Linked DNA regions of Drosophila melanogaster. The protein of the gene in region 2 binds, or shares a complex with, the protein of the main gene of each other region. Each region holds a gene or a part of one and is shown on either strand. Other genes may lie near its edges. The genes, in order: vir, nito and fl(2)d.

What was found.
Region 1: nito (region 2) and vir share a complex: the UniProt entries of both Drosophila melanogaster proteins name them as parts of the WMM complex.
Region 3: nito (region 2) and fl(2)d share a complex: the UniProt entries of both Drosophila melanogaster proteins name them as parts of the WMM complex.

What each region holds. Positions count from the first base shown.
Region 1 is NT_033778.4:23,364,603-23,368,355, forward strand, and holds the start of vir (virilizer), read right to left. Parts: upstream 1,754-3,753; 5' UTR 1,653-1,753; coding exon 1,587-1,652; intron 1,522-1,586; coding exon 845-1,521; intron 786-844; coding exon 1-785. Other genes in the region: Ice1 (uncharacterized protein), read left to right, coding at 2,502-3,753. UniProt on the Drosophila melanogaster protein: Associated component of the WMM complex, a complex that mediates N6-methyladenosine (m6A) methylation of mRNAs, a modification that plays a role in the efficiency of mRNA splicing and is required for sex determination.
Region 2 is NT_033778.4:7,960,380-7,964,132, forward strand, and holds the start of nito (spenito), read left to right. Parts: upstream 1-2,083; 5' UTR 2,084-2,224; intron 2,225-2,389; 5' UTR 2,390-2,463; coding exon 2,464-3,014; intron 3,015-3,072; coding exon 3,073-3,753. Other genes in the region: Septin5 (septin 5), read right to left, coding at 2-1,270. UniProt on the Drosophila melanogaster protein: RNA-binding protein that acts as an associated component of the WMM complex, a complex that mediates N6-methyladenosine (m6A) methylation of mRNAs. M6a modification plays a role in the efficiency of mRNA splicing and is required for sex determination.
Region 3 is NT_033778.4:13,822,507-13,826,259, forward strand, and holds the start of fl(2)d (female lethal d), read right to left. Parts: upstream 2,048-3,753; 5' UTR 1,623-2,047; coding exon 1,286-1,622; intron 1-1,285. Other genes in the region: CG13339 (uncharacterized protein), read left to right, coding at 2,414-2,651, 2,705-2,925. UniProt on the Drosophila melanogaster protein: Associated component of the WMM complex, a complex that mediates N6-methyladenosine (m6A) methylation of mRNAs, a modification that plays a role in the efficiency of mRNA splicing and is required for sex determination.

The DNA.
Region 1 (3,753 bases), about 15 Mb from region 2:
GTGGTTGCATGCATGCCGCCTGGAAACTCAGGGCAATCTGCAGCACGTTAGCCGCCTGTCGCAGATGTAGCTCATCGTTTCCGAAGAACTGCTGCAGGACAAAGTTCCTCCGCTTGTAGTGCTGGGCTAGGTAACCCAATTGGTTGTTCAGTTGTTCACCCAAGTACACAAATTGCTCCCTTTCGTCCACACTAGCGCCATGTTCCTCGCTGAAGGCATTAACATTCTCACAGCGGGTTTGCAGGACCAGCTTCTTAAAGAGCAGCTTCAGAGTTTCCAGCTCCTTGCAGAAGTGGGCTGCCATGTCCCCTTCAAAGACCAACAGTGGCTTCTGCCACGGCTCGAAAGCATCGATGGCCGGAGGAGCAGCGGCAGCAGCAGCCTCCAACTCCCGCTCGTACTCCGCAATGGCAGCCGCATCCACTGCGTCGTCCTCCTCGTCGTCGCCGATGATCTCGTCGTCACTGAGAATGGGCTCAAACTGCTCTTGCGGCGTGCACGATCGGTCCTCATCGTCCCGATCCCGTTCACCACGGTGCAGCGACTCGGAGGAGTGCCGGTAGTGAGATGACTGCATCTTGTAGTGGGAGCGCGAGTCCTCGTCCTCGTAGTCCATCGTGTCTGGCGAACGCGGACGTGTCGGTGAGTCTATCGACGCGGGCGGGGTTCTGGGCCACTTGTGCTCGTCCACAACGGAGCGAGATCTCTCGGAGCGCTTGCGACGTGACCGATGGCTGGAATACTCCGGTGAACGCGACCAATCCCTGGAGCCCTTGTCGCGGGAACTGCAATGAAAGGTCTGTGATAAGTCTGAATATAATAAATAAAACAGATAACCACTTACCACCTGATGTACTCCCTGTCGTTGCTCTCCGAATGCGTGTGCGATCTTCTGGGCGGTGGCGGTGAGTGATCCGTGGAATGCGTGGACCGACGCAGTCGTCGCATCTCTCGCTGCTCCTGCTCCTCGGCATGCTGGTGGTAATGATCCCGCGACATTCCATACTCCATGTCCTCCGGATCGTAATCGCTGACATTTCCTTTGTGAGCGGTCAGCAGTTCGGCCTGCATCGGCTCCTGCCACTCGTCTTTCAGCACATCCTCCTGGAGGAGCACCTCGCCACTCAGGTTGGCTATCTCCGGGCCCACGGGCTCGCAGGGCAGCGTTGGACTGGCGATTGGCTCGGTCACCGAGTTGGTGAAAATGCCGTAGATGGCCAGTGTGATGGTGCTGTACCAGCCGCGCAGCACCAGACCGTCGGTGACGATCTTCTCCTGCGAGCAATCCAAGTGAATGCAGTCGTTCTGGTTGTAACGCAGCAGGCCGAGGTTCTCGAATGCCGACGCAGCCGGCATTCCCAGGTCATTGACGAAGAACTCCAGGTCGAACTTGGAGGGGTTGGTGGCGCCCAGGCGAACGCCGCCGGGAAAGTCTGCCTGGACTCGGGCGCCGAGAGGAATGATCCGCACCTGTGTGATGAAGACCGGCTTGGGAAACTGCACCAAATCCAAATTGATGTCCTATGAGGAGAGGAGGAAGTGGGGTTCAGCGAATGCACCGAGTGGGGGCTTCTGGAGGCACTTACCGTCACTTCCTCATGCGAGAAAGTGTCGAAGAACAGCAGCTCGGACCCGTCGTCTACGTCGGCCATGTTGTGTGCTTAAATCGAGTCTTTTTCAGTAAAATCTTCTACAGTCCGGAAGTTTTATTTATTTTCCGCAACTGCTAGGGATGGAACTTAAGACGATAAGTGATCGATATCATCAATTGCTCTACTACAATTGGTAGGGGTATTCAAGAGGGTATGCTTTAGAATATGTTGAATACATCTTTAAAAACTAAACAAAAATTGTCTCAGTCTAGTAGCTTGCGCAAAACAATGCATCAAATTTTAACGTCACAATTGGCTCATGTCTAGAAATGAATTGGATTTTTTCTCAATATTCCCCATTTTTGGTAATGATGCTCTCAATGTTTTCTAAAAGATTGTAAAATAGCCCTAAAAACCATAGGCTTAAACCTAACGCAGGGAATCGCACTGATTCAGAGTACATTTGTTTCCCTTCAATGGACGCACGCAAATCATGTAAATTTAGTTATTATCAGTAATTCAAAATTTACTTCCTCTACAATATTATCAAACTATAATTCGAACCTCTTATTATAAATAAAGTGTGAACTATCAAAAACGAAGTAGTGAGAACGACCTATAAGAGTTCCATAAAATAGTCCCATACCATATATATCGATAGGCTCGTGCTGGGTTGTCGATAAGGGAAATGTTTTGGAGACCGGCTGCAGAGAAAAACGCGGATTTTGTTTTATTTCTCTGTTTTGTGTATTAAATCGCCAGATGCGCAGCTTAATATTGTCCAACTCGTGACCGACTAGCGAATTGTGTGGAAAATGAGGATTCTCCTTGTTTTCTGCAAGTTCTAGAACCGCAGTGGCGCTTGAACACGCAACCACGTGAAATCCAGCAACAACAAGTCTGCGCAACATGAATTTGGACGAGTTCTCCGACTTCAATATAGATCAGCTTCTGGGCCCAAGCGCACCGCTGCAAGATGCTCTGGTGGCGCCGTATAAGCAGGTGTCGCTGCCCAGGAGCAACCAAGATGTGTACGCCAAGCGAAGCCGGCTGGCCGAGCGAATAGCCCAGAACGACGAGCTGATCCGCCAGGTGAAACAGCTGCAGGCTCAAAACAAACAGCTGGCCGACCTGCAGCGCACCGCCCAAGAGGTGACGGATCTGTACCAGAAGGAGAAGCAACAGAGGATCGAGCTGGAGAAGCGCACCAAGCAGATCGGCGAGCGATGCGGACAGCTGGAAAAGGAGCTGGACGTACAGGTTGGGAACTGCGAGAATCTGCAGGAGCAGCTGCAAGTGCGGGGACTACCCGTGGAAGCCAAGGATGTGCTGTCCATACTCATGCAGTTCTCCCAGCGGCTGGGCGACGATTGTGGACTTTTGCGGCGGGATCAGAACATCATGAAGAAGCTAAGGGAGCACTGCAAGACTATAGACGTAAGCGTGCCCACGCCAAAGAGCCCGAATTCACGTAGCAAACGGAAAGCCCATCAGCCCGGAGTCAACCAATCTACGCAAACCGACGAGGAACCCGCTGATCCCAAGCCCGCGCTTTGCTCTGTTGCTGTGCAAGTGGAAGGTCTGATAGAGACGCGCAACCAGGCCACGCAACACAAGAACACCACCACCACCCGGGGAACCACTACAGCCTCCTTCATCAAGCACCACGATGTGGGCACATGCTTTCCCGAACCAAAGCCCCTGCCAAATATTCGGCAGATACTTGATGAAATGCTATCGTGGCGAGATGATGTCGTAATTGAGCCCATGAGTCCGCTGAGCGATCTGCAGCAGGAGTTGCAGCTCGAGGACGTACCGACCAATGCGAGTGTGGCCACCTGTACCACTTTGTGTGATATACACCGCGAGATTGATTTCGTTACCGACCTGCCGACACAAATAAAGGTGTCCGCCTCGAGGCCGCCCTCACGAACAATGCTGGATAGTGTAAAGGAGGAGGCCAGATCCTCCAGGGAGCTCGCCAAGGAGCTGTTCAACTTTCTACCTCAAAACCAAAGCTGCCTGACCAATCTGCCGCCGCAGGCCTTCGAGGAGCTGTGGCAGGTCTTTGGCCAAATGGTGCTTGCCCTGCTGCAGAGGCGCTCCAATCCGTCCATGGCCACGCCACCAAGCGTCAGTCAGGCGGATTTCACCAGATGGT
Region 2 (3,753 bases):
ACTACTTTTTCTTGCCCCTGCCCAAGGTGAGAGTGTGCGAACCATTGGCCATCTGGAGCCTACGACGCTGTAGCTCCTGGCAATCCTCTTCCAGCTGCCGACGGGCCTCTTCCAGTTGGGCCTTTTCCTCCAAATGCTCCCGTTTTAGCCGGTCGAACTTAGTATGCAATTCCTTCTCGTTGTCCTTCAGCTCGTTCTCCTTCTGCTTGACCCGCTGAACGAACATTTGGCGCACTTCCTCCTCCTTGGCCTGTAGGCAAGCCAGATGGTCGGATCGCTTCGACTCGAAGGTCTGTTGGAAGGAGACCGGCTGGTTGTTGCTGTCCACGTCCACAAAGCCCATTTGTTGTAGGCGCCGCTGGCGGAAGAGCTCATAGTGGCGTGTGTGAGTCTGTTCGCGCAGATCCTCCATGTTAGTGCGAATGAGCATCTCGCGCAGCTTCACAAAGTCGCAGTGCGCCTCGTTTTCTATGTGCACCGCTCCCCATGGATATTGGCGGGCACGAACCTGCTTTCCGGCCACCTTTACAAACTCCGTACTGCCAACAACGGCAAAGGGTAGATGGCCGTTCATCGCAGCATTTGTTTCGGACACGGTTTCGTCGTCCATGGGAAACTGGTATATGCTCACATTGTTCCGCCGTAGTTCGTCCATTATGCGTTCCTTAAACCCCGACAGCTCCGACTTGGAGATGGTGTCGGCCTTCGCGATCACGGGAATGATGTTCACCCTAGTGTCAAGCTGCTTCATGCACACCAAATCCATAGCTTTCAGACCATGGCCCGTGGGACAGATGAAGTACAGGCAGGCGTGAACGCGTCCATCATGAGCACTGGCCATCGCTCGCTGGATCTTGAGCTCTTCCTGCAAATACGCTTCAAACTGGCTGTCCACGTACTCCACCAAAGCCTTGTAGCTGTCCGCTTTATTAACCTGATCTCCGTATCCGATCGTGTCACAGACGGTCAGCTTCAGGCGGACGTTGCTCTCCTGCAGCTCGTATGTATTTGCCTTCAGCTTCACATTGGGCAGGTTGTGCGGGCTCGGTGTAGATCCAAAACTGGTATTGAACAGTGTGTCCATGAGAGTGGATTTCCCGAGAGCGGTCTCGCCGATGCATAGGATATTGAAGCTAAAGCCATTCTGGACGCTCTTGTTGACCAGCTGGTCCGGTAGGGTGTCGAACCCCACGTGGCCGCCGAGTTGAAGGAGCCTGGGGACTTTGGTTGCCACCTCCTGCGTCTTCTTTTCAGTCACTAAATGAACCATTTCGCCAGTGCTTTCGTTAGAATAATGTCACGACCCAGCGCAGGCGCCACTCTTTATACCCGGAATTCTCGTATGTGCAGCCTGTGTAAACCCTAGTCGTTTTTCTTAATAAGCCATTTGGATTTTCCTGCATCTGGTGGCGTACCGAGAATTAAACTGTATCTAAGAGTTTTCTACCTGTGATTCCTTTTACCTGCAGCCTTGACGATTTTAAATGCGGTGCCCGCCTCAGTTGTCTATCGAGACAGTTCTGCGCGACTATATCGATTAAAGCAGCTTCAACTAACATTTATCAATTGCAGTTAAACAACGATGGATTATTCGATCAAAATGAATTTTATTTATCAGAAAGATAGTCTTGCGACAGTACATTTTATATATGATTTCTGGACTATGACGCCACGGCTGGCTCGAATGAAGTCCCATCTGGACGTATTATATTCGATGACTTTTTCCAACATTTGTGGTCATATATCGGCAATAACACGGCAAATGTTAAGTCGGTCGCGATTTTGAACAGTAATGCCAACTTAAAGTTCTCCACCTCATAAAAAAATCCTTTACAAAACGTATATCGCGTTGTCTTAATCTCGCGTGTTTTAAAGATTTATGATCTTAAAACTTAAAAACTTTTATTGTTATATCTAAGTTCGCCGAAATATATTACAGAAATAGAAACCTATTAAAAACTACATTGAAATTATATATGATTATAACTATGTCATTATATAAAAATGAATCAAACGTTTGGCTATAAAATGGACAAATATGGCTCGATACCATGAACGGGACCATCAATGGCGATAGCAAACACGTATCGTTATCGAATACCGCAGTTAACTTTCGACGCATACAGAATTTGCAAAGCCGGAGGAAATTGAAGAATTTGTGGAATATCCGCGACTTAATAGTAAACTAGCACTTAAAAATAAACATCCAAAAAAGCCGGAAGTGGTAAGAACTCTAAAAACGATCTGAATTGCTCTGATTTTAGAATTTTTCCGCCTAACGCGATTTTCTTTGTTTGCGGGGCGCCGCCATTTTCTTTTTACCTGACCGCCGCTTGTCTTCTTGCATTTCGCCCGTACTTTCACAAAGCAAATCTCGAATTCTTCGCAGAATCCCCGGAACTAAATTGCCAGAAAGTTCTCAGGCAGCACACACCGAGTTAAAGCGCCCCGGAATAGCCGCCCATGAGTAGTCATCGAGACGGAGCCGGAGCCGATCGTATCACAATCAAAATTCACAACATGAAGCGTAGCGCCTCGCGCTCCCCGGGCCCGGCCTCCAGGAGCAGTTTGTCGCGCAACTCGCGAAGCATGGGTCGTGGGTACGACAACGGCAGCGGCGTGCCTGGCGATTCGCCGGAGCGCCTGTCGCCGGAGCGCATGCGACGTCGATTGGACCGCTCGCCGAGTCGTTATGGCTCCCCGCACCGGGAGCCCTACATGCGTGGTCCACCGCCTGCAGAGCGACCAGCTGGCTACAAGGTACTTTGCGTCAGTGCCCTGCCGCCAAAGGCTCCGGACGATTTTATCGAGGAGACACTGTACCGCGAGTACAAGAAGTTTGGCGATTTTAGCGTGCGACTGGCGCACGACTTGGATGAACGGGTTGCTTACGTTTGCTTCCGAACGCCTGAAGATGCACGCGAGGCGAAGCACCATAAGCCGCGCCTGATCATCTACGACAAGATGGCCATTGTGGAGCCGGTGTACAAGTCCACAACCAGACCGGAATATAGGTGGGATTTATTTTTGTATTTATTTTGTTAGCCTTGGCTAATCTAAGATGCTTTGCAGACCACGCGGTCACTCAATGTCCCCACCGGACTATGAACGTTACCACTACTCGAGGTCCCCTATGGGACAAGGCGTTCCTTTGGATCACCGTCGACCTCCGATTGATCCCTACGATCGGTACGGTCCTCCCCATATGCATCCGCACGCAGTCCATCCACGTGATTACCGCCCATTGCATCATGACTATCCTCATCCGCCACGCGGACCACCTTTGCATCGCGGCGGCCATCCGCATCACCTCCATGGCCATGCGCCGCCCCATCAGTATGCTCCAATGAGGCCATTGGCACCACGCCCACACGCTCCCTATGAAAAGCCTGAGAGCAAGAAGGACAAGTTCCCCAATTACTTGCACCATGTGCAGCCCGAGGATGATCCTCTTTCTACGCGCACACTGTTTGCAGGAAATCTGGAGGTTACCATCGCCGACGACGAACTGCGTCGCATCTTTGGCAAATACGGAGTGGTAGATGACATCGACATCAAGCGACCGCCGCCGGGTACGGGGAACGCGTTCGCGTTTGTACGTTACCAAAACCTGGATATGGCTCACCGAGCGAAGATCGAATTGTCTGGACAGTACATTGGCAAGTTTCAGTGCAAGATCGGATACGGGAAAGTGACTCCGGCAACTCGTATGTGGATCGGAGGCTTAGGTGCCTGGACTTCTGTCACTCAGCT
Region 3 (3,753 bases), 5.9 Mb from region 2:
TTGATTGATTGGCGGCCAATTAAGCGTTTAAAAATCAATTAAGTAAGCTTAACAATTGTGAATATACACACTCACACACAAACGCACACATGTTCGCCGTATTTTGGCGCCATTTATTTAAACATTTGTATTTGTTTGAACACACGAGGCAATGTTTTTTTCATTTGACGTTCACTTCTTTAACACAATTTCAACAGAAAAAGAATTTCAACTTTATTTTCTCTTTGGTTATGCACTGTCACATTTTCAATTGATTATTTAATATTATTATTTATATTTAGGCGCGACGAAAAGAGCGTGAGGGGCGCGAAGAGAGAGAATAAGATGGGTCCAGGGGGTGGGGCAGGGGACGCAGACACGTTGGCTCTCTTCTTCTCCTCTCCACTTCTCTGCTGCTGTGCTTCTTCTTCTTCTTCAACGGGCACGTAGGCAAACGAAAAGTGGTCGCAAAACGAAAACTGTACACCGCAAAAACGACGGAAAACGAGGAAAATCTCCGATTAGGATTCTCTACTATTATTACTTGATATGCTCTATTCATTTGATGTTATTATCAGCCCGGTTTTCTCATTAAGATTATATAAAATCTTAAACTTTACTTCGTTAACCTTATCTTCTTATGATTCATTTTATAATTTTTTATTTTAAGTACGATTGCTTTCAATATTAAAGCTTAGCTCAGCTTACTGGTTATAATTGGTTACGATTCTCATATATTATTTATGATTATTTAACTCATATTTTATATTTTAGATAGTTCTGTTGCACAACACTTTGTAATCACTTGATAACTTTAGGCGTCAGTTGCCTTTTAACTTAGTTCATATTTAGGTATTATAGATTATTATATGCATGGTCCTTTTTGAAAGCACTTTCACTACATTCGACGGTTTGCTCGAGGTGGTGTTGAAAAAAATAAATAAATAAAGTTAACCAAAACGCCGCTGAAAGAATGTTCGTTGCAAAGAGTGTTCGCTTCGATTCGATTCACATAATATATACGTTGAGTTCTTTACCGAGTGTTTTTCATAAACAAATTCAAATGACACAAGAAACCCAAGTGGAGTGGGGGCAGAAATAAACTAAAAGACTACGTTTACTTGTTGTTTATATATTGCATTATTTATACAATTTACACAGAGTCAACACTTTGGATCGTGGTTTTTTCCTTTTCTTTTTTTTTTTGTCGGTATTCGAAACGAGTATGTATGTAGTATATAGGGGGTATTATATAGATCAGATAGATCTCTGATCATATAGCAGTGTACCAAAATGTGCAAAATACCTTCGAGCAAGCGCTGTCGCTGTTCGGCGGCTGCAACAGCCTCTGCAACAGCTGCTGCATGTTGCTGCTGCTGCTGTTGTTGCTGCTGCTGCAAGTGTTGCTGTTGCTGCTGCTGCTGCTGCTGCTCCTGATGGTGATGATGGTGCGGATGCGGATGGTGATGATGATGGTGGTCCTCCAAGCCGGAGGGCGTTGGGGAGGCGGGGCCGCCAGTGGCCCCACTGTTTTGGCTGCTGTTTAGGATATTTAGGTTTTGCTCGTATTTGGTCGGGGGCATTTTGTCGTAACTGTTCATACAGGGTCTTTGATCGTCCATAGTCATTGCAGCGACACTCATTATTTGGATATTAAAACGCTGTGCTTGTTACTCTTGCTGTTGTTGTTGTTGTTGTTGCGGGTCCTTTGCTGGCGTTGTTGCTGTTGCTTTTCATAGGGGCCGCTCGCTCGCTCTCACACACGCACGCAAACACACACACACACAGGCGCTCTCACCTCCTCCAATACCACACGCACACACAGGCAAGCTATCGCTCACACCAATGGCGACGCGTATGGCGAACGTTTTGCAAAACGTTGATTTCGCGTACTTTTCGCGCTTGCTCAAAGCTTAATTAATGATTTATATCTTTATTGTCCTTTAATTCACACTTTTCATATGTTTTGGGTCGGTTGGGCTCACTTTTACGGCGATATTTTTTAATTTTTCTGCGCTGCGAGCTGATTTCTCGTTTGCTGCTGTTAACTGTTGTTCGCAATCCAACATGGCGTCGCTGAAAAATACCAGATTTGCCATCGACACAAATGCAGACCTGGGGTGCGTGGCTCGGATATGGGGTAGCGGAGACTCAACCCAGTTCCGTTCACACTGCCACAAATTTTGCCAAATAATTATTAGATAACAAATTTATTTAACTTCTAAATTGCACTGATAATTCCTTCCTTACGTCTACCGCCATAGCTTTGCATCCAATACTAACGATATTTACATAGTTAGAAATAATTAGGAACAATCAAATACAAGTGAGAAAGTTGTATCTTACGTTACTGTTTATTTTTTTGTAAGATTTATTTAGGGGTCACACTGGTGGACTGTTTTGGATATTGTTTTTATATTCAAAACGCAAAAACATGGCAGAAACCACTGGTGTGCAAATAAAACTGGAACAGCAAAACATCAAGGAGCGCCTGAATCTGCACGTCAAGCGGCGCCTGCAGCAGGATGCGGATAATCCCGCCGAGAGTCCCGAATTGCTGCCCACCGATGCGAATGCCAAGCGCAGCAAGACGAAAGATGTCTCAAAACCAAGAAAACCCTACCAAAAACGGACAGAAAAACCGAAAACAGAGGCGACCAAGTGCAAGAAAGGTATTTAAGTTGATTAAGCAATAGATTCCCCCAAATACATTGTTATTTTGCAGTTGGACAATTGGGCAGTCCGGCGGGTGAAGTGGATCCAATGGATGACCAGGAGACGGAAGGCTTTTCCCCGGAGGCGCCGGATGGCAAATCCGCCAGACGGGATTGCTGCAAAAATGCCGACATCCTCAACATAGTTTTGAACGCTAAGAAACGTAGTTTAATGCAGGATCCTGAAGTTCAGGCCTTCTGGACCGAAATAACCAATTGCATAAAGGGCTGAAAGCTTAACTGATCATAAGGGTCATTAGATCATAAGGAAATATTGTTGATGTTCGGGATATTTGTTATATGAACAACATTAAATATCTAATATTAGGGCTGTTGTACAAATATGTAAATAAAATAAAATAAGTGTTAATCCAAAAATTGTTCTATTATTCTAAATAGTTTCTAAATTTGTTTAAGAACTGGAAAAAAGCTACAAAACAAGTGCATACATTTGATCTATATAATGTGAAGAAGTAGTTAACATTATATAATATTTCAGTACAGATTTATAGCAGAGCAAAGCCGGCAGTTTTTCGGATTGATATCTTCAGTTCCAACCCTATTAACATAATGACATGAACCGACATTGCAAAAAAAATATATTTGTTTTAGCTATAAACAATCTGATAACAATATTGAAAGCAATAATACTCATTTGAAATTGAAATTTCTAGCTACAATGCTTTAAAATTAAGCAGTACTTTTTAAAAAATTTTCATTTTGTAGAAGCCAAGCAAAAATATTATGAAATTTATAACATAACATTGTTTTGAAAATGTTTTTTAGTATCTATAAAAATCCAATCCTCAATCGGTAATTTCTAAATTTTGAGAGAGAAGTAGTAAGCCTAGAAGTTTTAAAATACTTTTTTAAACTTATAGCAGACTAAAAATAAATTGAATTTATGACATAACATTATTATAAAAAATTTATTTGGATACTGTAGATATCCAATCATTCGGTAAATTTAAAAATTTGAAAAAAAATATATAAGCAAGAAGTATTGAAGTTAGATGTTTGAAAATACTTAAAACTTATCGCAGAATATAAAATAGAGATT